Notamacropus eugenii: one gene and its partners. The protein of the gene in region 2 purifies or fractionates together with the protein of the main gene of each other region. This does not show direct contact. Links are inferred from orthologs where the notes say so. Each region holds a gene or a part of one and is shown on either strand. Other genes may lie near its edges.

Region 1 (7,784 bases), on a different chromosome or scaffold from region 2:
CAAAAGGAGAAGAGAACGGAAACATGCGCGCTCAAAATTGCGCTTGTTTATCAGTTAACCACCTGCCCCTTCCTGAGGTTGGCCCTAACAGCCTATCGCTGTGGCAGGTGACCCCTCCGAAGCCCAGGGAGCCCCAGTCTGATCATGAAGACCCTGCATCCTGACCACAAACCTCATCCTGAGGCTCACCACTCACTTCCCCCCTCCTCTTCCAGCCAACCTCAGAGCTCCACCAACGCACTGGGGGCGGGGGGAACAGAAGACAAACCTGGGTCACAGCACCCTCTTCTGCACTCCAGGGCTCCCTAGGTCAGAAAGTCCCAACAACTGGGTACACACACATTTCCCAACCTCAAGGCTGTTCTCTGTCACCTTCTGTCTGTTGTACCTCAGAGGTTGGGGGTGAGAAAGGGTTGAGAACATTCAAAGGGTCCCCACCCTCTCTGTGCCATCCTCTTGGGTCCAGGAAGTGCCAATCCTTCCCCAAACTGGACCCTCCAGGGCCAGCTCTAGGAGGGAAGCAAAGTAGGGTTCACCCCCTACTTGGCAGTGAGAAACTGAGCCTCAAGAGGGAGAAGTGACATGGGATCATAGACTGAGAGGTGGAAGGGAATTAAGATTATCTGGTCCATCTTACAGATGGGGAAACTGAGACCGGGGAGGGGTCACACAGGGAGAAGTGGCAAAGTTCACATTTGTTCTCAGGGCCTATGCCTGGTCACAATCAGTTAGCACCAGCATCAGGTCTAGACTCTGGCTCTCCTGACATGAGCCACCATGGGCCAGCCTGGCTCCTGCCTTTCTGGGTGCCCATCTACCAAATAAGGGCTCTGCTATTTGCCCTTCCCAGGCCAGCAGCAGGTGAGCTGTCCAAAGGACAGCCACTCCTATTGAGCATGGTGTCCAGCAGCAGGGCTAGAGACCAGGTGCCTGGGGGCCAGAGGGCTCCCTCTGGGGAATTCCAGGCACACAAGTCCCATCTCCATCCCAGACCCCCAAACCTGCACCGGCTAGCTGCCCTGCTCAGCTCAGACAACGTACCCCACCCAAGCTGCCACTTGGAAACCACTTACCTTCCATGAAAGGGGAAAGGGGGCATCAGGCTGAGAGCCCTCCACCTGAGGGGGCTGCCTGCCAAGGAAGGGACCCCCTGGGCAAGAGCCCAGAGTCCCCCGGGGATATCTGAGGAGAGCAAGGGAACAGGCCTGCACAAGGGAGACCCGCACACACCAGCTTGCTCATCCCTCCCTCCAAAATTAAGCAAGAATCTGAGCACAGGAAACTGAAACAAAACCCCCTCCCCCACCTCTGGAACAGGGGTCAACAGAAAGTAAAACCTAACGCCAGGAAAACAGAAAACAAAACACAAAACCTAAGGCTGGGAGAGAGAAAGCTCGAGCCCCCAGCCCAGGCGGCAACTGAAGACACAGAGCCCCGAGGGAGGCAGAGAGCCCAAGGGAAAACAGGGGAAGGGGGAGGGGCACCAAGGCCTTAATCTCATTTTATTGCCCTTACTGACAAAATCGAAGGACTACAGGTGGTAATCTTTAGCAGGCAGGACCTGGGCTCTGCACACCTTGGGGAGCTCTAGAATGGGGAGCCAGCACCACCGGTGGTCCTAGTCCAGGCTCCTCCCAGGGCCCTTCACCCTTGGAGAAAGACCCAAAGATTACACATAACACACAAGCTCACTAAAGCTAGGATTCTGGCAGGCGGGGCAGGGCCACAGGAGGGAAGGGGCCCACGTGCCCAGGAAGGGCAGACCAACTTGTTTGCTTACCCTTAGAACAGAGCTGGAACCCAAAGGGGTCTGAAAGGTTGCCCTGTCCCCTAGTCACCTGCCTTGGGTGTCACCACTCAGAAACTTGGCCTACCTTAGAGGAAATGTACGTTTTTGGGGGGGGGGGGTGAAAGACGCCCCTTTCCCTCTTCCCTCGTGGCTTCAGCAAACATTCCCTAGGAGCCTGTTCTGGCCAGCTTCCCCAGCCCTCTGCATGAGAAAGCGAATCTCGAGCCTTCTGGGTGAGCTCCCACAGCAGCCAACCCAGGGGAAGGTGCCCATGCCAGGGCTGGCAGGGTCTGGGTCCCCCTCATGCAGGACTTGTCCACTCCCCTCCGTGGGAGGGTGAGCAAGCCTGGCTCCAGCCCCTCCGAGTGGGGCCTAGGCCCGAGCCGAGGTTGTCATGGAATCTCCCGAGTGGGGCTCCACTGGGATCGAGAGCCACTCCCCCCCGGCCTGCCAGGCCGTTATCCGAGGGGAGTCCGGTCCAGGCCCCAAGCGAGGTGGCCCCCACTCACAGGCCCACGCCGAGGGCTCCCCCAGCGCCCCGCCCCGCGTCACAGGGGGCTGAGCCGGAGAGAGGCTGTGCCCACACCCCAGAGCGCCTGCGGGGAGAGCTGCCCAGCAACAGCTGCGGGCTCCGACCGCCCCCACTGAGGCCTGGACGGACCGACTGAGGGACCGAGGGACCGAGGGACCGAGGGACAGGCGCTCGCAGGTGGTTGGACAACTTCCCCTCGCTCCCAGTCCTTGGGGACGCCCCTCCCTGGGGCCGATCGCCCTGGCAAAACATCCGCGCCCTCGGAAGCGCCTCCATTGTCTGTGCCCCCCAAGTCCCCACGTTCGTGCCCACGCACACCGCGTACACACACCGGACAGACAGACAGACAGGCACGCACACACACCACGCACGCACACACACACACACACACACACACACCAGACAGACACACACACACCACACCAACACACACACCATGCATACACACACGCATCGCGGCGGCCGCAGGCCAGGACCCCCCCACGCCCAGGCCCGCCCCCGCCCCCCGATCGCCGGCCCCCCACTCACCCAGAAGACGAAGTTGAAGACGAACAGCAGGTATTTGATGCACTTGGTGCAGCCTTCCACCCCCATGGCGGCGGCGGCGGGGGCTGGGCCGGGGCTGTGCGCTCAGGGGGCGCTGGGCCCAGGGGCTCGGGGGGGCTCCGGGGGGTCGGGGGGGCTCTGGGAGGAGCTCCGGGGGCTCGGGGGGGGGCTCCGGGGGGGCTCCGGGGGGAGCTCCGGGGGCTCGGGGGGCTCTGGGAGGAGCTCGGGGGGCTCGGGGGGCTCTGGGAGGAGCTCGGGGGGCTCCGGCTGGCTGCTCGGCCTCGCGCAGCGCCCGCACCTCCGCAGACGCCGCCGCCGCGCTCGCTGAGCTCACCGCTCTGGCTCGGCTCTGCTCCGCGCTCAGTGGCCACCCTCCTCCTCCGCCCCCGCCCCGCCCTCCGGGACAGGCCCCGCCCCGCCCCCCGCTCTCGGGCGCCCCTCCCCCTCGCCCCTGGGCCGGGCATCCCGCCTGCGGGGGCAGGGCGGGGGAGGGGGGCACAGCCTGGCATCCGTGCCGGGCCCGGGACCACCCGGTCGGTTCCCCAGCTGAGCCCTGGGCCCGGCGATGGAGGCCGGAGGAGAAGGAGCCGGGCTCGGCGCTGTCCAACCAGGCCCAGGGCCGCCTAAAGCCGGCGGCTTCACCGATCGCTGAAGCCCCGGGCCCTCCGGGGTGGGTGGGGGCGCTCCCCGGGTCCGGGCTCCTCGCGCTCTCCCGGGTCCCGAGCCCTCATCTTGGGGGGCTCCGAGCGAAAAGCCCGGTGGGTCCACTGGCCTGTGGCCTCCCTCCCTGTCTCCCTCCGTCTGTCTGTCTGTCTGTCTCTCTGCCTGTCTGTCTCTCTGCCTGTCTGTCTCTCTCACCACCAGCTCCCAGGAGTGTCGAGGCCCTGGGTTAGAGTTCTGCCCATGCTCCCCAGGACTTCTCTCTTTGAGCTTCAATTCGCTCATCTGGAAAATGGCGGGGGCGGGGGCGCTAATTCTCTTCCCCAAAGTGTTCCGCAAACCGGAAAGGGCCAGAGAGATGCAGCCATTTCTATTCCGGTCCTAACTAAATCCCTGAGCCAGGGCGCTGAAGCAGGGGAGGCTGCTAGACAATGGAGATAGGAGGCAAAACTCATTGCATTGGGAAGTGGGAGGGGCTGCTGGGATGGAATTGGAAATGTCCTGGGCTGGGGGCTCTGGAAAGGGAGGAAAGCTCAGTCTTTGACCTGGCGCTCCCGTTAGATCCCACGGATGTAGCCATCAGCTCTGTGCTGTTGTTTCCCAGATCCGTTTATCCAGCCCTCACCTCTCTCCTAAGGTCCCAGCTTGCATCTCCAGCTGCCACTTACACATCTCAGAATGATATCCCACAGATACCTTAAACTTGACCCACTCAGACACACTCCCAGGGCCTGCGCAGCAGTGCATCCACTGAGGAGGACCCTAGGCTCTGCAGGGCCCTGAGGTGGCAGAGCCCTACACCTCTATGAGAGCGCAGCAAATGGCAGGGGCATGCCAATCCCTACCCCACAATGACCATGACACACAAATTCAGCTTGGAACAGAGCCGGTGACTCAGAAAGCAAATCTTGACAAATACACACAAACGCAGATGTACAAAGATGGCCAACCAAGAGAGAAGCAACTTCAAGTAGTGAGAACCCCCCTCAGGGTGGATTGTACCAAAATATTGACCCTCAGGGACCAGTAGAGAGCTATAAGGAAGCAACTACATGAAGACAAGACTGAGAGACAGAGAGAGAAGGCCTTGTGCTCCCCAAGAGCTGTGAGGGTATCCTTTGACACACTTCCCCTACACTGGTGCCTTCTTACCTTTGGGCTCAATGCTCTCCCATCACTGGGTGTGCTGGTTAAGAATGTTTCTGATTGGGACAATTTTTGTATCAACCCTTTGTACCGTCCCTCCTCATTAAACACCATTACTCTAAGCCAACTGAGCTACTGGTTGATAATTATTTGGAAGCACACTAGTAGGGACCCATGAATGACAATACTAAAAATCCTAGCCCCTCAGGGTTGCCCCAAGAAGTCCAAATCTTGGCCCAAGCAGGGCATAATCAAAGGAAAGATAAGCCCTTCTGCTCTGGTTGGACCAGATAAAAGACAGAGCTGCTCACCTTGGGTTTTGCTTCAGCTCCCACCCCAGCCCCCAAAGAGCCTGACCTTCGCCTGTAAATAAAGGAATGATAAAAGCTAGTAGACGGTTGATCCCTAAGCTAAGGAGAGCACCGAGGGACACACACATGTGCCCAGGTCCCAAAAGAATGGGCCAGTGATTGAGGAGCCACAGTCTGAATGGATGTTTGAGTGGTCAGAGAGAACAGGAGCAGAGTTGCCCAAGGGTGTGTGCCCCCATAGTCATAACAGAGAAGTCTGCAACCTGGGGGCCTGTGAACAGGACTGCTTTCTGGCAAAATTCTAGGGCCCATTAAACAAGCATCTGGAAAAGGAGGAGGTGGGAGCACTGGTAGTGCCAGAGGTGCCATCACTCAGAAACTGTGCTGGGAAGAGGGCGACAAGACCCCAGATCAAGGGGCACACTGCAAGCAGCTGGTGGCCAGAGCTTTGTCCAGCATCTGATAAAGGGGTTCAGCTTCTTCTTAGGGGAAAGATGAGGAGACAAGGACGAGCCCTCACACAGACAGGAAGATGAATCGGCCTCCAGCCCCAAACAATGTCCAACAACGCTGCCATGCCAACCATCCAGCAAACACTTATGAAGAGCTTTGTGTGGATCAAGCACTTTGCTAAGTGATGGAGAGCCAAAGAAATGAGTAAAGACTTCCATCTCTCAAGCAGGTCAGTCTGTTGTTGACTGTCCTTGGTTCTCAAAGAGGACCTTGACGTCAGGGAGGTGATGCCAAGACACACAAGTGAATTGGATAGAAGTAAGGGAGGGCTGTGCAGTCACAAGCCTCACTTTCTCCACCAGAGCCATCTGAATCCACTGGTGAGATGTAGATCAGGACAACTGGAGATGGCTGGGATGCAATGGGGACTTTGGCTAGACCTAAGCTAAGGTCTTGGACAGGTCTCAGTTTGACTGGGGCAACATCCATTCAATGATTAAGGCTGGGTAAGAAATGAGGCAGAGAATATCCTCTTTACTTAATTAAAAAAAAAATCAATCTAGGGAGGGAAGACCATCAGGGTTTCAGACCAAAACAGAAACAATTGCTATCTACAGTCACTCTGAGTCAATCAAGGCCTTGACCTGGAATCTCCTGTTGGCCAGTCAATGAGAACCAAAGTGATTTGGGTTTGAGGAGTGATGTTTAAGGGGAAAAAAAGCTTTCAGGGATGAAATATTACATTCCTTTGGGCAGAGTACCCACAGATAAGAATATAATACCCTATGTGGATAGAGAGGAAAGAAAGAGAGAGAGAAAGAGAGAGAGAGAGGGGAAGGAAGGAAGGAAGGAAGGAAGGAAGGAAGGAAGGAAGGAAGGAAGGAAGGAAGGAAGGAAGGAAGGAGAGGAGAGGAGAGGAGAGGAGGGAGGGAGAGAGGGACTGAGGGAGGAAGAAGAAGAAATAAAGCTGTGTTGCCCAACTGGCCAGTTCCAGTTGGGTCCCCAATGGGGACCCTATTCTCCACTCACAGAAGTTGTTTGTCCTTCCAGGATATGCACCTAAATTGGATCGAAGTGAGGCAGGGCTGTGCAAAATCGCTGGCCTCATTTTCTCCTCCGGAGCCCCCTGCGTCCAGTAGTGAGATGCAGATCAGAACGACCAGAGATAGCCCAGGATGCCTTTTGAAGCTGAGGTCTTTCCCAAGTCTCAGTTTGACTGAGGCAGTGCCCATTCACTGGTTAAGGCAAGGTAAGAAATAAAGCAAAGAATGACCTCTTTACCTAGTCAACAACAAAAATTCAGTCTGAGAAGGAAGACCCTCAAAGTTTCTAGCCAAAGCAGAGCTGGAGTCAGAGGATGCATGATTGCTGTCTTTGCAAGTCCAAAGGGCCGACTGTTGCAAAGAGGATTTGTCCTTGACCGGCTGGCTCCAGGTTACAGCTGAGGGCCATCTCCAGCCATTCAGTCTTACGGGGGAGACAAGACATGAGGAACCAGATGTGTGTGTTCTGCAGATGGGGTTGCTACTAGAAATTTTAAACTGGGTGTTCTCTAGTCATCCCCTTACAGTAATAACATTAACAGGAAAAGGAGAGTACAGGTTTTCAAAAGAATTCAAAATATCCCATTGCTTCTAATTCCTGTCCTTCTGTCCGTCTGTCCCTGTCTGTCTGTTTCTGTCTTTTTCTCTTGGAAAGGTTTCCTGAACAAGGTGGGATTTGATCTGAGTTTTGAAGGAAGCTAGGGAAGGTAGGGGTGGAGATGGGGCATGGGAAACAGTGAAGAAGAGGCCGAGAGATGGGAGATAATGTGACATGGCAGCCAGAAGCTGAATAAAGAGAGAGATCTCTTCCAGGAATATGGAGGCCCCATCCTCTGTCCTGCTAAGACCCATCTGCGTGTTCTGGTCAGTTCTGGGCTTACAAGGCCATTCATTGCTAAGTGGAGAGTGTCCCAATGAAGGATGAGGAAGGAGGATCAGTTGAAGGAGAAGATTTGAGGGACGTGGGGCTATCTTCAAAACTAAGCAGACTGTCCAGTTTGTCTCTGGAGGATAAGACTGAGCCCAGTGGGGGAGAAGCTTCCCAACAATGAGATATAACTGTCCCATCATGGAAAAGACTTCTCAGGGGTGAGGTGGAGGGGGGAGGGCACCAACACTGGTCAGTATCAAAGTCTGCTGGTCAGGATGGGGATTCCTCTCTACTACAGTGTGGGCTGGCCTGGAAGCCGAAGGGTCCTTGCCTGCTCTGATTCTGTGCCTCTGTGGGCCCTTGGGCTCTCTAGTTGGGCCCCACAGCTTTCCTATCTGCATTAAATGGATCAGACAAGAGCCCACATTGATTT
Region 2 (7,959 bases):
TAAGATTTGCCCAAGGTTCTCTGTCCCTGAACAATGGGAGCCTAAGTCTGAAAACTCTTGCTGACTGGCCCCCCTCCCCAAAACAGCCCCCATTCTCTTTTGGGGGGTGCTCTAATCATTAGAAAACTCTTACACTGAATCAACCCCTGGCTGCCTGGAGCCTCCCACCCACTGGTTCTGATGTTGTTCTCTGGAGTAATACAGCCCAGATCAATTTCATTCCCATCAACAGTTAAATGACCCCCCCCCCCCAAAACACTAGCTCCCTTAGAAATCCTCACACCCTCACCTAAGTTGCACCCTGAATCCTTACTCTCAGACAAGGGCTGTCTCACCCACCCATGCCAAAAAAGATTTTCTGGACTCTATTATGCACTACGTACTAATGGAACATGTACAATGGAAAATAAAGAGAATGACTATCAGACAGTAGGGGTCAACCTGAACATTTCATAATTGTGAAACTATTCAAAACTATCATTGGTTACTTTAATAATAAAGTAGACAAGCAATGCTGTTTTAGTACCCAATACGACCTCAGATTATTGATATGTCATAGTCCTTGCTGTGTATAACAAATTTAAAATACAAAAAGCATGCTAACTCCCCCAAACTCTAAGTAATACATATTACTTCTAATTTATGATGTGCTATTTAACTGACTTTTCCCACTTCCCTTTCCAAAACAAAATTTTCTTTCACTAAGCGAAAACTATCCACAGAAACATGTTAGTTAGCTCAACCACAATTTTAAAGCTTTTATAAAGTTTCCCCCAGAAAAGAGCAACAATGATCTAGCAACAAGTAGATTAGGTGGAAAAATTCTATTTTTGTAATGTTAATAAATTCAGTACGTTTAAGTGCTGAGCTAATAAAGTATTTTTAAGAGCTAACGTGAACAAAATAATCAGATATTACATAAAGAAAACAGTCTGAAATGATACAGCAAGAGGTAAAAATTCACATTCTCCCCTGTTCCAGTTACCATCTAGGTGGAATTTTCAATTGAACTATTTACTCCTCCCACTGGTCTTCAGTTTGAAGAGAAGCCCTTCAAGAAAAATAGGAAGAAACCTAGTCACTGGAGTCACTTCCCTTCTTACCCCCCTCCTCTTCCGAAGTCTGCTCAAATCATGCAAACGAAAGCCAACCGATGCAAAATGCAAACAAAACCCCAGAATGTAATTCAGTAAAGCTGTGAAGAGAGGGGAGCTTCGAGAAGGAGAGAGCTACAGCCCGGGTGGAAACGCCATCTTGTTGCAGTTACTGGGCCCAGGCACAGAAGGACCCATTCATTCACAGCAAGGATGAGGGGAGAACTCTCCCCCCACCCCGCCCAGGCAGTCTGCACCGGGCCAGGCGGCCGCCGTGCCCTGCCTGCCCCAGGCCAGCCCCGCTGCCCCCCGCGGGGCGCGGAGCCCTCTGGGGGGCCATCGTTTTGCACCTCATCCCTCCCCCCAAGCCCCCTCTGAAGCAGCTCCGCGCTCGGCAGCAGAGCCAAGGGCTGGGTGCACGTTTCACGAGGTTACAGCTGCCTCTTGACTTCTCCCAGGTCTTTGTTTCTGTTTTAAATCCCCTCCCTCATTTTAGTCAGCTGCCCCAAAAAACCCCCAAGTTTAGTAGGTTCTCAGCTTCCTCATTTTATTGTTCCTGTCTTCTTTAAATAAGCATTCAGTGTCTAAAATTGTAACGTGGAAGTCATCGGCAAAGGAAAAATGCATTTTAAAGTTAAGCGTTTTGTGCCCCAAGTGATTTTGTTACAAAAATTTTCAAGCCACATCTGCTAAAATCTCAACGAATCCCGTGCAAGTGACAAACTGGCATCCTGAAATAACCTCTATTTAAAAAAATCCGAAAGAAGGAGGGGGGGTGGAGAGAAGGTAAGGAAACCCTATTCCCCTTCTCCTCTTCCAGAGTATTTACCGCTTCCTATTCCTTTGTTTACTGGCTTAGAATCAGAATCCCATTTTTGTGGGAGAAAAATCTCACTTTCTCCCAAGAATCTTGAACTTCTCACAATAGGCTGTTGGGGTATTTTTAACTCCATATTCTAGCAATGATTTCCATGGAGACTCGCTCCCTTACTCTGTTCTGGCACACATCCTCCATGATCTTACATATTCCAGTTACATGCACCCAAAAAAAAGCACCACCCTCCCAGATGCAGAAGGATGAAATGCACAGGCACACGCTGGGCAGCAGCTCCTGCCAGCGCGCTTTCGGCTACAACACTCACCCCCCCAACTCTGGGGGCTTCTTTTGGGGGGCTGGGGTTCGCCCACGCCGACACCCCCTTTTGGATTAATCGATTGTCCCCCGTCACACTACACCCAGCTGCCTTCTTGAAAATCTCTTTCACTCCGCTCTTGGGGATCAGTTTCCAAGCCCTTCTCCAGCGCCGGCTCCCCATTGCGGAGGGTCTGGGGGACATCACGAGCGCGCGTGGAAGCCCACGAGGCTCCCCACCGCCCGACCCCGGGGGCCCAGCGAACACTCCCTGCTCCCCTTCCTTCCCCCCCCCCCGGCCGCGTAAGCACCAACCCACCCACTTTTGGGGTAGAAGATGGGGGAGGGGGCAGAAGTGCCCAAATTGACTTTTACCTCTTTGGGTGGCTATTTTTACCGAGAAAGAGGCAAAATGCCGCCGCGGCCCCGCGCAGGTGCGGACACACGCGGCCCCCTCCCCGGCCGGGGGGCCCGGGGGAAGGATGCGGGGGGCAGGGAGGAAACATGGAGACGGGGATGCCGGGCCCGGCGCCGAGGCGGGGCCGGCCGGGGGTCCGGGAGCCCCAGCTCGGGGGCCGCGGCCGGGTCGAGGGGCGCCCACGAGGCGGGCGGGCGGGGGCGCGGGCCGGGAGGGGGCTTACCTCGGCGGGGCCGCTCATGAACGGGCGGGGGCCTCGTCCGCCGCCGCGGGGGCCTGGGCGCCTGGGCCTCCTCCTGCTCCTGCTCCTCCGCCGCCGGGGCTGGGCCGGGCTGGGCCGGGCCGGCCGGGCTCCCGCGGGCCGTCGGCGTCGCTCGGTCCGTCGGTCGGTCGGGCCGTCGGTCAGCCGGCCGGCCGGAGGGTCCTGGGCGGGCGTGTCGAGGCCGCTGCTGCTGCTCCCCCGCCCCGGCTCGCGCCGCTGCCCCGGCCCTCGCGCTCCCGCTCCCGCTCGCGCTCCCGCTCTCGCGCTCGTCCTCTCGCGTCCGCCCTCGCGCCCCCGGCCTCGCGCGCCCGGCCTGGCTCCCGCCGCTGCAGCCGCCGCCTCCGTCCGCCCCTCAGATCCCTCCAGCCATCGGCGATGGGCGCGGCGGGGGCCCCTGCCCGCAGCCTCGGGAAACCCCACGCACCGCCCTGCCCGCCCCCGCCCACCGGCCCCCTCCCCCTCCCCCTCCCCCTCCGCGCGCCGCCGCCCCCGCCCGCCCGCCCCGCCTCAGGGCGCATGCGCCGCGCGCCAGCCAGCCAGCCAGTCAGCCAGCCAGCCAGCCAGCCAGCCAGCCTGCCTGCGGGCGAGCCAGCGAGCCGGGAGCCGGACTGCTGCTCCTTCTCCTTTCTACGTCCTCCCACCCGCCCGGAGCCCCGCCGGCCACCGCCCCGGGCTGGGGAGGGGGGGGGGGCGGGGGAGGGGGAGGGCGCCGGCGGGGCCCCTCCTCTCCTCTGTTCCATACAATGCAGGGCGACCGGCATTTATTCAGCGCCCGCTCCCTTGTGTGCCACCCAATCCAACAGGCATTTATGAAGCACCTACTGTCTTCTGTGCCACCCGATCCAACAGGCATTTATGAAGCACCTACTGTCTTCTGTGCCACCCGATCCAACAGGCATTTATGAAGCACCTACTGTCTTCTGTGCCACCCGATCCAACAGGCATTTATGAAGCACCTACTGTCTTCTGTTCCGTACAATGCAATCCCACCCACACTTATTAATCATCCACAGTCTTCTGTTCCATGCAATCCAACCCGTATTTATGAAGCACCCACTGTCTTCTGCTCCACACAATGCAATCCAACAGGCATTTATGAAGCACCCACTGTCTTCTGTTCCATACAATCCAACCCGCATTTATTAAGCACCTGCTCTCTTCTGTTCCATACAATCCAACAGGCATTTATGAAGCACCTACTGTCTTCTGTTCCATACAATCCAACCCGCATTTATTAAGCACCTGCTCTCTTCTGTTCCATACAATCCAACAGGCATTTATGAAGCACCCACTGTCTTCTGTTCCACACAATCCATCAGGCATTTATTAAGCACCCACTGTATTCTGTTCTATACAATGCAATCCAACAACCCACACTTATTAATCATCTACTGTCTTCTGTTCCATGCAATCCAACCCGTATTTATGAAGCACCCACTGTCTTCTGCTCCACACAATGCAATCCAACAGGCATTTATGAAGCACCCACTGTCTTCTGTTCCATACAATCCAACCTGCATTTATTAAGCACCTACTCTCTTCTGTTCGATTCAATCCAGCAAACCTCTGTTAGTCAGTGCACATTTACTAAACTCCTATTATATGCTTGGCTCTATACTAAGCTGGGAATACAAAGAAAGACAAAAACAGTCCCTTCTTTCAAGGAGCTCCCAGTCCTCATTGGGGGAGACAGATAAGATGCCAACAACCCTGGAAAAACAGGACATATATGCAGGATAATATGGAGGTGATCATTAGAGGGAACACACACCTATTAAGAGGGACCAGGAAAGGCTCCTTGTAGAGATGGGGTTTTTAGCTGGGCCTAGAAGAGAGCCAGGAGGCAGAGAATTCTGGGCATGGGGGAGGAAGGGGCAATAACCTGGGAGAATGCCCTGAGAATGACATTTCTTTTTGTTGTTCAGTCAAGTCAGACTCTTCCTGAAAAGCAATGCTGCAAAATTACGAAGAACAAGGGCCAATGGGAAGACAAGATAGGAGAAAAGGTCTATCCTCATGCTTTTGCATGGGGAGTAGGTCCATAGGGGTGGAACATGGCATATATTTTCAGACTTTTTTCAATATATTGATTGTTTTGTGATTTTTTTTTCCTACTTCATCTTTAAAAAAATTATGTGGTGACTGAGGGAGGAAAGGAAGAGAAAAAGGGACAAATTTAGGCAATAAATCAATAAAAATGTATCTGTTTATTTGTTTAGAAAAAAAGATAGATTGGAACCAGATTCTGAAGTCTTTAAACACTAAACAAAAGTCAGGATTTCCTTTGAGGTGGGTACAGGTAGAGTTGCTGGGCCTGGAGTCAGAAAAATGAGTTCAATTTGGCCTCAGACCCTAGCTAGCTGTGTGACCCTGGGCAAGTCACTTAACTTCTGCCTCAGTTTCTTCAACTTAAAATAGGGATTATAATAGTAGTTGCCATCTAGAGTTGTTCTGAGGATCAAATGAGATGATAAAGCACTTAGTACAGTGCCTGATCCATATATAAATGCTAGCTATTTTATTATTCTTATTTGTTGCAGTTGTTATCTTATAAGCAAGCACCCTGACATACACAGGAGGGCCTGCTGTACAGGTCTGATCTGCTTTTCTAAAAGAAAAGACAACTTAATGAAACCACTTTCATCAAGCACGTATATATTATTCACTTAGTTCAGGGGAAAAAGTCAGCATCCTGAACTTCAGAGAAAATACAGAGAAATAAACATCAACAGACAGGGCTTCCAACTGCCTGACCATAAGCAGTACATACATCACAGATCAGCAGATAGATCCAACTGTCCAACTATAGATACATAGTTACCAGAGAAAGAAGCACCAAAATCTGGGTTTTCAAAGCCGGAGAGCTCCTTAGCAGCTTCTCAGAGTCTCATCTGGAACACAAACCTTCTTCCAAAAACTAATCCCCAAAGTAAAACTTCACCTCAGAGTATGTATACCCTTTTCAGAGCTGGAGGGCATGACCTTCTGACCTAGGGTCTCAATAAAAATTAACAAAAGGTCCTTGAGGCCTATTTATGGGTGGGGAAGATCTAATTAACATTATATTATCCTAGAGGCAGTTTCTGAAATTTCTCAAGCAGGTGAATGACACAGTCAAGTTTGTTCTTTAGCATGCCCAGCTTCTGCTCCTTAGGAATATCAATTTGGCAGAAATTTGGAGATGATAACTTGAGAGGAAAGAGACCAGAAGCTGGGAGATCAGTGGAGATGCTACTACAGTAATCCAGGTGATGCAGGATTGAATCAGGGTATCTATAAAGTGAGTGGAGAGAAGAGGAGCTGATGTGAGAGATGTTGAAAAGGTAGAATCAATAAGACTTGACAAATTAATTAGATATGGAAATTAATAAGAGTTCCCCATGCCTGGAACATCCTCCTCATCTCCACCTCCTGGCTTCCCAGACTTCTTTCAAGTCTCAGCTAAAGTGGCATCTCCTACAGAAAGCCTTTCTTAGTCCTCCTTAATCTTAGTGCCTTTCCTGAGAGGCTACCCCCAACTACCCTATCTACATCTTACTTGTAAATAATTATTGATCTATTGTTTTCCCAATTAGACTATGATCACCTTGAGAGAAGGAACTGGTTTTGGGCTTTTTTTTTGGTGTTGTCTTTTTTCTTTTTTGGCCTTTTTTGGTAACCTCAGTGCTTAGCACAGTACCTGGTACACAGTAGTTGACTGATTCACTGATCTCTGAGTGAAGGGTAGTGGATGGATGGAGTAACTCTTTTCATCACAGTCTTTCAGGGAATATCATTTCTATTGGAGCTGTGTCTCTCTGCAACCAGAGGCTTACAACATTAACTACCTCCTTCATCACCACCAGGGACAATTGAGATCATTTTGGTCAGTTGTGCTTCTTGTATACACACCCACCTTCTGCTCCTTAGCCAATCAACAAGCTCCTTGTCTTTACACAGTAATCACCAGGGAATAGTCAGGCAATACCCAGAACTGACTCTTCCATTCGTCATGGCCAGAAGCAGTCTCTCCAAACTTCATCCAGACAAGTAGAGGGTTTTATCAGATAGCACTCACTTTGTATGTTCTTAAGAATTAGCTTTTCATCATTGCCCAATCCTTACTTGATCAACTTGAGAAAATCATTTTATTCTGTGTCAAGTATGTACTAGTTCCTAAAGGCTTAAAGATAAAAACAAAACTGTTATGATTTTAGGTGATGGAGCTGGGAGGGGCTTTGGAAATTATCTATTCCAAATCTCTCATTTTGCAAAGGAGAAGACTGAGGCCCAGAAAGGAGAAAGGGCTTGTCCAAGGTTGTGTACAGAGAATGACTGAACTAAGGCAAGAACATGGGTCTCTGACACCAACCTTGGACTTTTCCAGTTCCTCTAGGAGGCCTTTAGCCTGGACTTAGATGAACATGGTGGTTTTTCTTTCTGAGTGGACAAGAAAGATACAGGTTCTCAGTTCTTCAGAGTTTCATTGAGCCCTCTGGGCCTAAGAAAGGATGTGCTTGAAATGTACCCTTGTAAGGCAGTCCAGCATATCAGATCTCAAACTCTATTATAAAACAGTAATTATCAAAACAATCTGGTACTGGCTAACGAAAGTGTGGTGGATCAGTGGAATAGATTAGGTACAAATTACATTATAGTAAATGACCATAGTAATCTAGTATATGATAAACCCAAAGATCCAAGCTTTTGGCACAAAAACTCATTATTTTACAAAAACTGCTGGGAAAACTTGCCAGGCCTAGAGGCCTGAGGGCTACCCGAGTCTTACCTTACCTCTATCGCAGGTCTTCGGTTGGCCAAACCGGATAAACGTATGAGAGAAGAGACTTTACGGAATCGAACAAGGGTTAGGCTTTTATTCAGGGTCCTGGTTACAAGTGCAGGGGGAATTCTTCCTTAGGAGGGAGCGAGGAATCTCCCAAGGAGGCAAAGATCTTATAATAAGAGATTGGAAGCAGAAGTGTAAGTGGGGAGAGAGGGGGAGGGGAGAGCGAAGAGAGGAAAAACGGAGCCTTCTGTCCTGTCCGCGCCCCTCCTGCGCTAAGAGCGCCTT
Region 3 (7,317 bases), on a different chromosome or scaffold from region 2:
AATGGAAACAAACAAACAAAAAAGCACCCAAAAGAGATAAGCCTTGCAATCCACTCAGGAAAAAACAAGTGGATGAAGAATGAATATTGTCCAAATTATGACATGCAGTTGCACAGAGAGCCCATTGAGTTAGTCTCTCAGTACATATTTATCTCACAAAGGCATTACAGGTAGCCCAGATGAGCTGGGTCCTGAAATGAATAGGTAGTTTAAGATCGGGTTGAATTACAGCGGGGCAGCTGAATACCACTTCGTGTAATTACAAACTGATCCCTGCCACAAAAGCCCTTCTTTTTATCCACGGTAGTTTCCAGATGATGCTATGAGTGTGAAGCATGGAATTCTACAATCTCAAAAGAATCAACACTCAGCTGACCCAAAGTGCAGTGAAAAGCTGCATGGTAGGCAAAAGTAGGGTGTGGCGTATTACCAAAGAAGTTAGAGTAAGAAGTTGTGTAACAGATGGGCAGACAGACTGCTACACTGGCACCCTGGAAATGTTAAAAGAGTCAAGGGAATGCTACCAGCCCACTGGGTAGATCAGCTATGGAGAAATGGAAAGACAAAGACAAGAACTGCACATGCTCATAGAATGTGGATGAGTTGTAACTTGTGCCACGGAGGGAGCCCCTACACTGATGAAGTCACAGATCTTCAGAGGTATACGTGTTTTTTTACCCTCCACTAAACTGGGACTACCCTCCAGAGCTGGCACATCTCTGCTCACAGGGGGTACTCGATATGTGGTAATTGCCAAGTCAAGCACATATAACACCCAGAGAAAGACAAAGGCAACAGAGAAAGATGGGAAGACAGTGATAGGCCTAGAATCAAACAAAAAGGAGGTTCACTCGACCTAGAACCCAGGGGCTCACCCTGCTTCATGGCATGCTTCTCCTGCAGAGCGGGCTGAATTTTTTCCATCTGCTTAGTGAGGAAGTCAATCTTCCTCTTGAAGAAGTCTTTAGCATCATCTGCTGACTGCCAAAGGAGGAGAAGTTAATGACCCTCATGGACTCTTGGGGAGAGATATCCCAACTGTCCTGTCAATGATGCCATCTCCCAACCCCTCCTCTTGCACCAACTTACCTTCTCCACATAGTAGCCAGTTCCTACATCAATGAGAACATGCTCCACATCATGTAGCTTCCCAGGTACATACATCTGAGGGGTGAGGATTAAGGAAAGGGCTGGCCCAGCCTGGGACACCTTCACTTTCCCTCTCAAAAGCCAGAAGTTCTGAAGCTAGAGAGTTGTGAACTTAGTATAGTGTGAAATGGACAGAGGAGGAGAACGGTCAAGGCATTCTCTGTGAACAGAGAGCCCTAAAGAAACCATAAGAAGGTGCCCTATAACTGAAAATTTCATTTCCACCTGCTCACATTCAAAAACAAATCCATTTCTCTTCCTGAAATGTTAACTCCCATTGGTACTCATATTGATAAAGGATAACTTTCCACAAGCCTATTAAATATATAGGCAGTGGAAAAGTAGCACAGTGGACAGAGTACCAATTCAGATTCAGCCTCAGACATAGCTGTGTGACCCCAGGCAAGTCACATAATCCTATCTGCCTCCATTTCTTCATCTTTAAAGTGTGCATATCCAGCATAAAATAAGCTGGAGAAGAAATAGCAAACCACTCTAGTATCTTTGCCAAAAAAATCTGGAGTCATGAAGAGTCAGGCATGACTGAACACCACCACCAAATATAAAACTCAGGCCTCACTTCCAAACCCACCAACAACTTGGCTCCTGATTTACATGTATTTATATGTGAAGTCATTCAGCGTCTATTAGTTAACTGTTTATCTTCCATCAGTACTTATTTATGTTTAAGGAAGTTTATTAGACTACAGAATACAGGGATTTTCTCTATAAACCTGACGTAGGCAATGTCCAGAATAGCCTGTTGAAGTATAGTGACACATGGTAAAGGGATAGTTAATCTCAAATTGTGAAGCAATACCCACAAAGTCTTCTTCCTTCCCTCATCTCTATTTCTCTGTGACTCGTATGTAGTTTACTAATAAGCTTCTAAGGGACAAGGATATTGCTTGATCTCAGCTCTACTAATCCTGTGGTAGCCAGGACATTGTCTTATACTCAATCTGATTAGGGGACTCCAGGGGACTCAAAGGGCCAGTATAAACTTGAATCAGGTAGTTGCAATTAACTCTTTCCCTTCCCACTGATCACCTGAACTTAAGTATCTGAAGAGAGCTGAGGTTAGATCATGGCAAGGTAGCTAAGAAACATCCTCTGGCCCCATGTGAGCGAGGAGTTTTTTCAATCAAGTACGGAAAGGACTCTGCCCAAGGAACCAAAACCGTTTTCTAGGTGGGAAGGAAACCGGCAGTCTCCAGTGGAAGGATACAGAACTGGTCAATGGCACGAGTAATTCTTTCCCTGTGAAGGTAACAGAGATAAACACCAGGGGACGACGCTAAAAGGAAACCCAACCAGGAGGTTTTCCAGGCTGGAACTACTCAATCTGATAACCAAAAATGAGCGAGGAGAAAAGAAGAAGGAAGGGGGAGCTTCTGACATTTGGCATTTAAGTCAAAGTGTGAAAGAAATGGAAGGCCTTTGGTGTGAGGCTGGAGGGGGCAGAGAAGGCTTTCTGAAGAGCTGCTTCTCAAACTTGGGCGATGGGTTACTACAGAAAAGCCCAGCCCACACCCTCGCCCTCTCCGGCCCTCTCCCCCTCCCCTTCCCCCGCCCCCCCACCCCCATACCCTCGTTGCTCTTGTTGAGCACGTTCAGACACTCCTTGGCCTCCACGTATTTGGTCTGGACAACCTTGAGCTGCGCGATGGATGAGGAGAGAAACTCCACCTCCTGTAAGGGGCGCGGGGAGAGACAAGAATGAGGGGGGGCCCGGCGCGGACGGGCGGGGTCCGGGGTCCGGGGCGCCCCGGGCCGGCCTCACCTGGTCCAGCTGGTTCTTGAGCAGCTCGAGCTGCGGCAGGGACAGCTCCGTGATGTTCACCGACTGCGCCATGTTGGGAGGCTGGGCGAGGGCGGGGCGCGCCGGGCGTGGGAGGCGCTCTAGCCACCCGCCGGCCGCGTCTCTATGGCACCCGGAGGCGCCCGCCCGGCCCGCGCTCTCTATGATCCTGGGCCGTCAGCCTCCCGCGGGCCCACTGCTCCCGGAGCGCCGCCCCCCGCCCCCCCCCAGCCTCCCCCCGCCCCGCCCCGCCCCGCCCCGCCCCGCCCCGCCGGCCATAATGTATCCAGCATGTTGCCCTGCAGTGTGCGGAGTAGAAATACAGTGCTACTCAGAGTCGTGTCCGGATCGTGTTCCCTTCGCCACGCTCGGGATCCCCCAACTGCCCCGGGGAAGGGGGCATCTCACTGAGGCTTTCGGGGCCGAAAAGGTGGGGAGGCAGGACGGGAGTCCCGGGTTCGAGTGCTGGCCCGACTCGCGCAGGCTGCATCCTAAGTGTCAGTTTCTTAGTCCTCCTGGCAGTACTCTGATACTAAGTGGCAGATTTTCGGAAAGGATTTCCTCCCACCGGCCTGCTCCCCGGCCGCAGTTCCTGGCACACCAGGAGGCCCTTAGCGCTTGGTGACTGAGCGCACTGGGCATCACATCCTCCAGGCCACCCTGGAAGGCAGCCTTCTGGTACTCGGATCTCAGAGCCAGGGCCAAGGTCTTTGAAAGGCCACTGGACCCCGCTTGCCCCTCCGCTCCTCCTCAGAAATGTTATCTGTTGGGAGAGTCAGTTCCACTAGTCTCTAATGGCCACACCACTGCCCCACACTCAGTACTCCTCACTCCTTCTGCCTTAAATGTTGGCCTTTAAGTGAAATAACGAGAAGAGGAGGCACAAAGCAAGGATAGCCAGGGTGGTGGAAACTTAACAGTACAAAGCACCAACAAAGAAGGTGCACGGCAAGGGCTGGGAAATGCTTTTAGTAATCCCTCCGGAGAAACCAGACACAACAAAGTTTAAGTAATAACTTTATTACAGTGAGTAAAAACACATACTGAAAAAATCAATTAAATATTCAACCGGAGTTGGGGGTTTTTCAGAAGTAGGGTGTTTGAACAAAGAAACCAGAGGTAAGGACTATAAGGAGACTTCTTCTGGGTATCACTGCAGGGAGACAGGTAAGCCATAAGCTACTGGGGCAGCACCGATGAGGTATTTGAGTCTGGGAGCCTGGCGTGCCTGGATGACATAGGAGAGGAGGGGCGCTCCTGAGCCAGCCTCCAGCCAGCCCTGCAGCAGCGCTTCTGTGTAACGGTCTATTTCTCTGTCTGTCACATCCCACAGGTTCCCCAAGAACAGGGGGCTAGAAGAACAGAGGAAAAGAGGTTAAGAAAAGGCCTGGGATAGATCTATAAGAGCTAAGAGGGAAAAAAAACCCAAAACCATTTGCCAGTTCATTTGGGGGACAGAGTTGGGGCAAAGGTGGGCCATAAGAGAGCTCTGGATACGGGATAATGAAGAAAAGGAAAGAATTGGCTGAGCTATGGCTCAGAATTCAAAGCTGGAGTGTGTGTGTGTGTGTGTGTGTGTGTGTGTGTGTGTGTGTGTGAGAAAGGGAAAGCTAGAGAGAATCAGAAAGCCCTAGAGTGAGCCACCTGGGGGGGGAAGGGGGAGAAAGGGAAGAGGGGGCTTGGGGGAAAGTTCTCTATTTCTCCAAAATCAATGCTCCTGGTCAAGACTCACCAGCCTGCGATGATGTACTTGAGAACGATGCCAGCCCCCTCCAGGTTCCCCTGTACAGCCAGGGCAGCACTGCTACACCCAAACAACAAGGCCACTGCTCGACAGTTGAGCCGCTGGATTGCCTGCCCGTCCAGGAAAGAGGCACCAGCCCCGTGCCCTGCATAACTGATGCAGAAGTGGAATGAGCTACAGCCTGTGACTCAGTTTCTCTTCCTTAAACTACCCTTTCTTTTCACTCTCCCCTACATCATCAACAGCTCCTTCCTGCAGAACTTTTCTCAGTAAATAAGAGTTCTGCAGCCTCAGTTTTCAAGAGGTCTCCTAAGAAAGGGTAACAGGACCCAGATGACCCCATTCTTGTCCCTTTGGGGATGTAGTCTCTTCCCACCCCAGTACTCACATATACAGATCATGCTCTGTCAAGGCTGCCTGGACCTGTTCTTGGCTTGGGGCCTCACCAACCAGTCCCTTCCAGCCAGTCTCACTGTGGAGAGGAATAAACTATAACAAAGTGCAATGGAAGAAAAAACAACAGGAAAAAAGGCCCAAAGTAAAGGAGATACTAAAGAGGTGACACCAGGGAACCCGTTTTCCTGACCGCCCCTCCCTGTCAGGCGTCTAGGAGTGGACCCTTGAACATTCTTCTTTCTTTACCCATCCCACCTGCAGAAGCGTGCTCGGAACCGCTCCTCTGTGTTTCCCAAATTGTTCTGTGGGTTCAGGATGTAGAAGGTACTTTGTGGATTCACTCCCCGGTTCCACACTGATGAAGCCTGGGTCTGCATCAGTAAGATAAATGTTCATTATCCCCTAATCTGACAGAGCTGGGACCTTGATGTCTTAAGTCTTTATTCTACTGCCTTGCCACAAGCCTGTTGGGCAGATGCTAGAGATATTATCTCTATTTTAGATATGGGATCAAGTCCCAATATAAGAATGATCTTGAAATGACATCCTTTAACAAGGCGCTGTAGAGAAGTGTTAGGTGTCACTTATGACAGCAGAGGGCAGCAGAGGTCTTGACTGGGGCCAGCCAAGGAAGCTCTTAGCTGAGATAAAAGGAATAAGCGAGATAGACTGGGTAGGAACATGCAGAAGAAATTCAGAAAGAGTGGCAGAGAATGGATTGCCAATAAGGCCTAGAAAAGAAAAATCCCAGGAATAAGCGAAAGGGTCTAAAACTAGGTTAGGCAGGTAGTTGCAGGTGCCAGGGTTAAGGGAAACAGAAAGCTGGGAATCTAATTTCAAAGGCTTGGGAGTTGAAGTCGAGGGAGGCAGATGGATGTACCTCTGGTCAGAGGTAAATCCAGACCTGGCCAGGGGTGTGACCTTTTCACAACCTTTCATGCACCTCATGACTTATATCCTTGAATTCCTCAAAGGATGCTTCCCTGCTGGCCCATACCTGCCCCATCACACAACTTTGAGTGCTGGAACTTGTTTAAGTGATCACACCACAGTGAAAGAGCTAGTAAACAGAAGTCAAAGCTAAGTCTCTGACCCACTCCACTTGGGGAGAGCCAGAGCAGCAAAGGGAGGGAGGCCTGGACCATAAAGTCTTTTTCCTTCCCAAAGGGTATCTTTTTTTGGGGGCGGGGAGGTGAGAAGGGGAAAACAGGAGGGGAAATGTTGAATAGACAGGGTTGATAGAAATCAGGGTTAGATGTGAAACAAAGAAGGTAGTCACTGGATTGGAGATAATGATCTGGACTTCAGGAAAGGCTCCAATTTAGGTGTCTTCCAGTTTCCAGGAGTCCTGTCCCTGAATGGAGGTGGAACCTGTGACTCCTCACCTGGAGGAACTTCCTACAACATTAATTGGCATGTTTATAAGTTAATCTTGGCTCAATGAAACTTGATTTAAAGTCAGTCTAGGTTGCTTATAACTCTCCTAAAGGAACCAAGAAATAATGGTGATAAGGGCTATATGTAGAGTAGAATGAAATGTGAACATAATTATATGTTACAGCAAACTAAATCAGTGACAAAATAAAGAAACTCAAACGTCTTGGAAGAGACACGGCAGCATAAATGTTATCGTAAAATCAGATGGGTGCCTTTGTTTTGTCAGTCTGAGGGAGGGTAAACATCAGTTTTCAGAAGAATGAGATGAGGTTTGTGGAAAGGCCATAGACTGGAACGCAGTCTGCCACCAGCAGACATGACAGGTGGATAGGAGGCCCTGGAAGGAGCCAGAATGGAGGAACACATGTGCCATTGTTATCTGCCAGGACAAGGACAGTCACTCTGAGATGGAGAAAGTCACAAACCTAAGCACTGATGGACATGCAAGAACTGAGGGCTTTCTAGCTTGAAGGATGGTAAAGGCACAAACCTGATGAATAAGGTTGTAGTGACCTATCACAACAGCAAGAACCATGAATGATACTGGATTACTAGGGAAGCCTTGAAGCAAGTATGACCAGCTACACTTGGGTTTAAATCTCCCCATAAGATGAAGCTATGCCCTGAGCACGACCCTAGAGGGTATATAAAGAATATGCAATGTGAAAAGCTGTAAGCCAGCAGAAAGGCCTGGGGCTACTGCTGATTTTCAGTGAAAGGCACAAATTCTGAATGAGGGTTGAGTGGCCATCAAGTTTTCAAGGCATAGTCACCTGCTCTGTAGGTAGTT

The links.
Region 1: the proteins of GNB1 (region 2) and CD81 purify together in Homo sapiens (co-immunoprecipitation; 4 studies listed by BioGRID and IntAct, with this or other methods). This does not show direct contact. The link is inferred for Notamacropus eugenii from reciprocal best matches to the Homo sapiens genes GNB1 and CD81.
Region 3: the proteins of GNB1 (region 2) and PFDN5 purify together in Homo sapiens (co-immunoprecipitation; 3 studies listed by BioGRID and IntAct, with this or other methods). This does not show direct contact. The link is inferred for Notamacropus eugenii from reciprocal best matches to the Homo sapiens genes GNB1 and PFDN5.

What each region holds. Positions count from the first base shown.
Region 1 is NC_092873.1:25,498,886-25,506,669, forward strand, and holds the start of CD81 (CD81 antigen), read right to left. Parts: upstream 3,046-7,784; 5' UTR 2,916-3,045; coding exon 2,850-2,915; intron 1-2,849. UniProt on the Homo sapiens protein: Structural component of specialized membrane microdomains known as tetraspanin-enriched microdomains (TERMs), which act as platforms for receptor clustering and signaling.
Region 2 is NC_092876.1:35,710,878-35,718,836, forward strand, and holds the start of GNB1 (guanine nucleotide-binding protein G(I)/G(S)/G(T) subunit beta-1), read right to left. Parts: upstream 3,007-7,959; 5' UTR 2,868-3,006; intron 1-2,867. UniProt on the Homo sapiens protein: Guanine nucleotide-binding proteins (G proteins) are involved as a modulator or transducer in various transmembrane signaling systems.
Region 3 is NC_092874.1:226,235,831-226,243,147, reverse strand, and holds the start of PFDN5 (prefoldin subunit 5), read right to left. Parts: upstream 3,072-7,317; 5' UTR 3,005-3,071; coding exon 2,933-3,004; intron 2,842-2,932; coding exon 2,739-2,841; intron 2,410-2,738; coding exon 2,378-2,409; intron 1,165-2,377; coding exon 1,090-1,164; intron 982-1,089; coding exon 876-981; intron 1-875. Other genes in the region: ESPL1 (separin), read right to left, coding at 4,101-4,302, 4,683-4,847, 5,083-5,166, 5,346-5,461. UniProt on the Homo sapiens protein: Binds specifically to cytosolic chaperonin (c-CPN) and transfers target proteins to it. Binds to nascent polypeptide chain and promotes folding in an environment in which there are many competing pathways for nonnative proteins.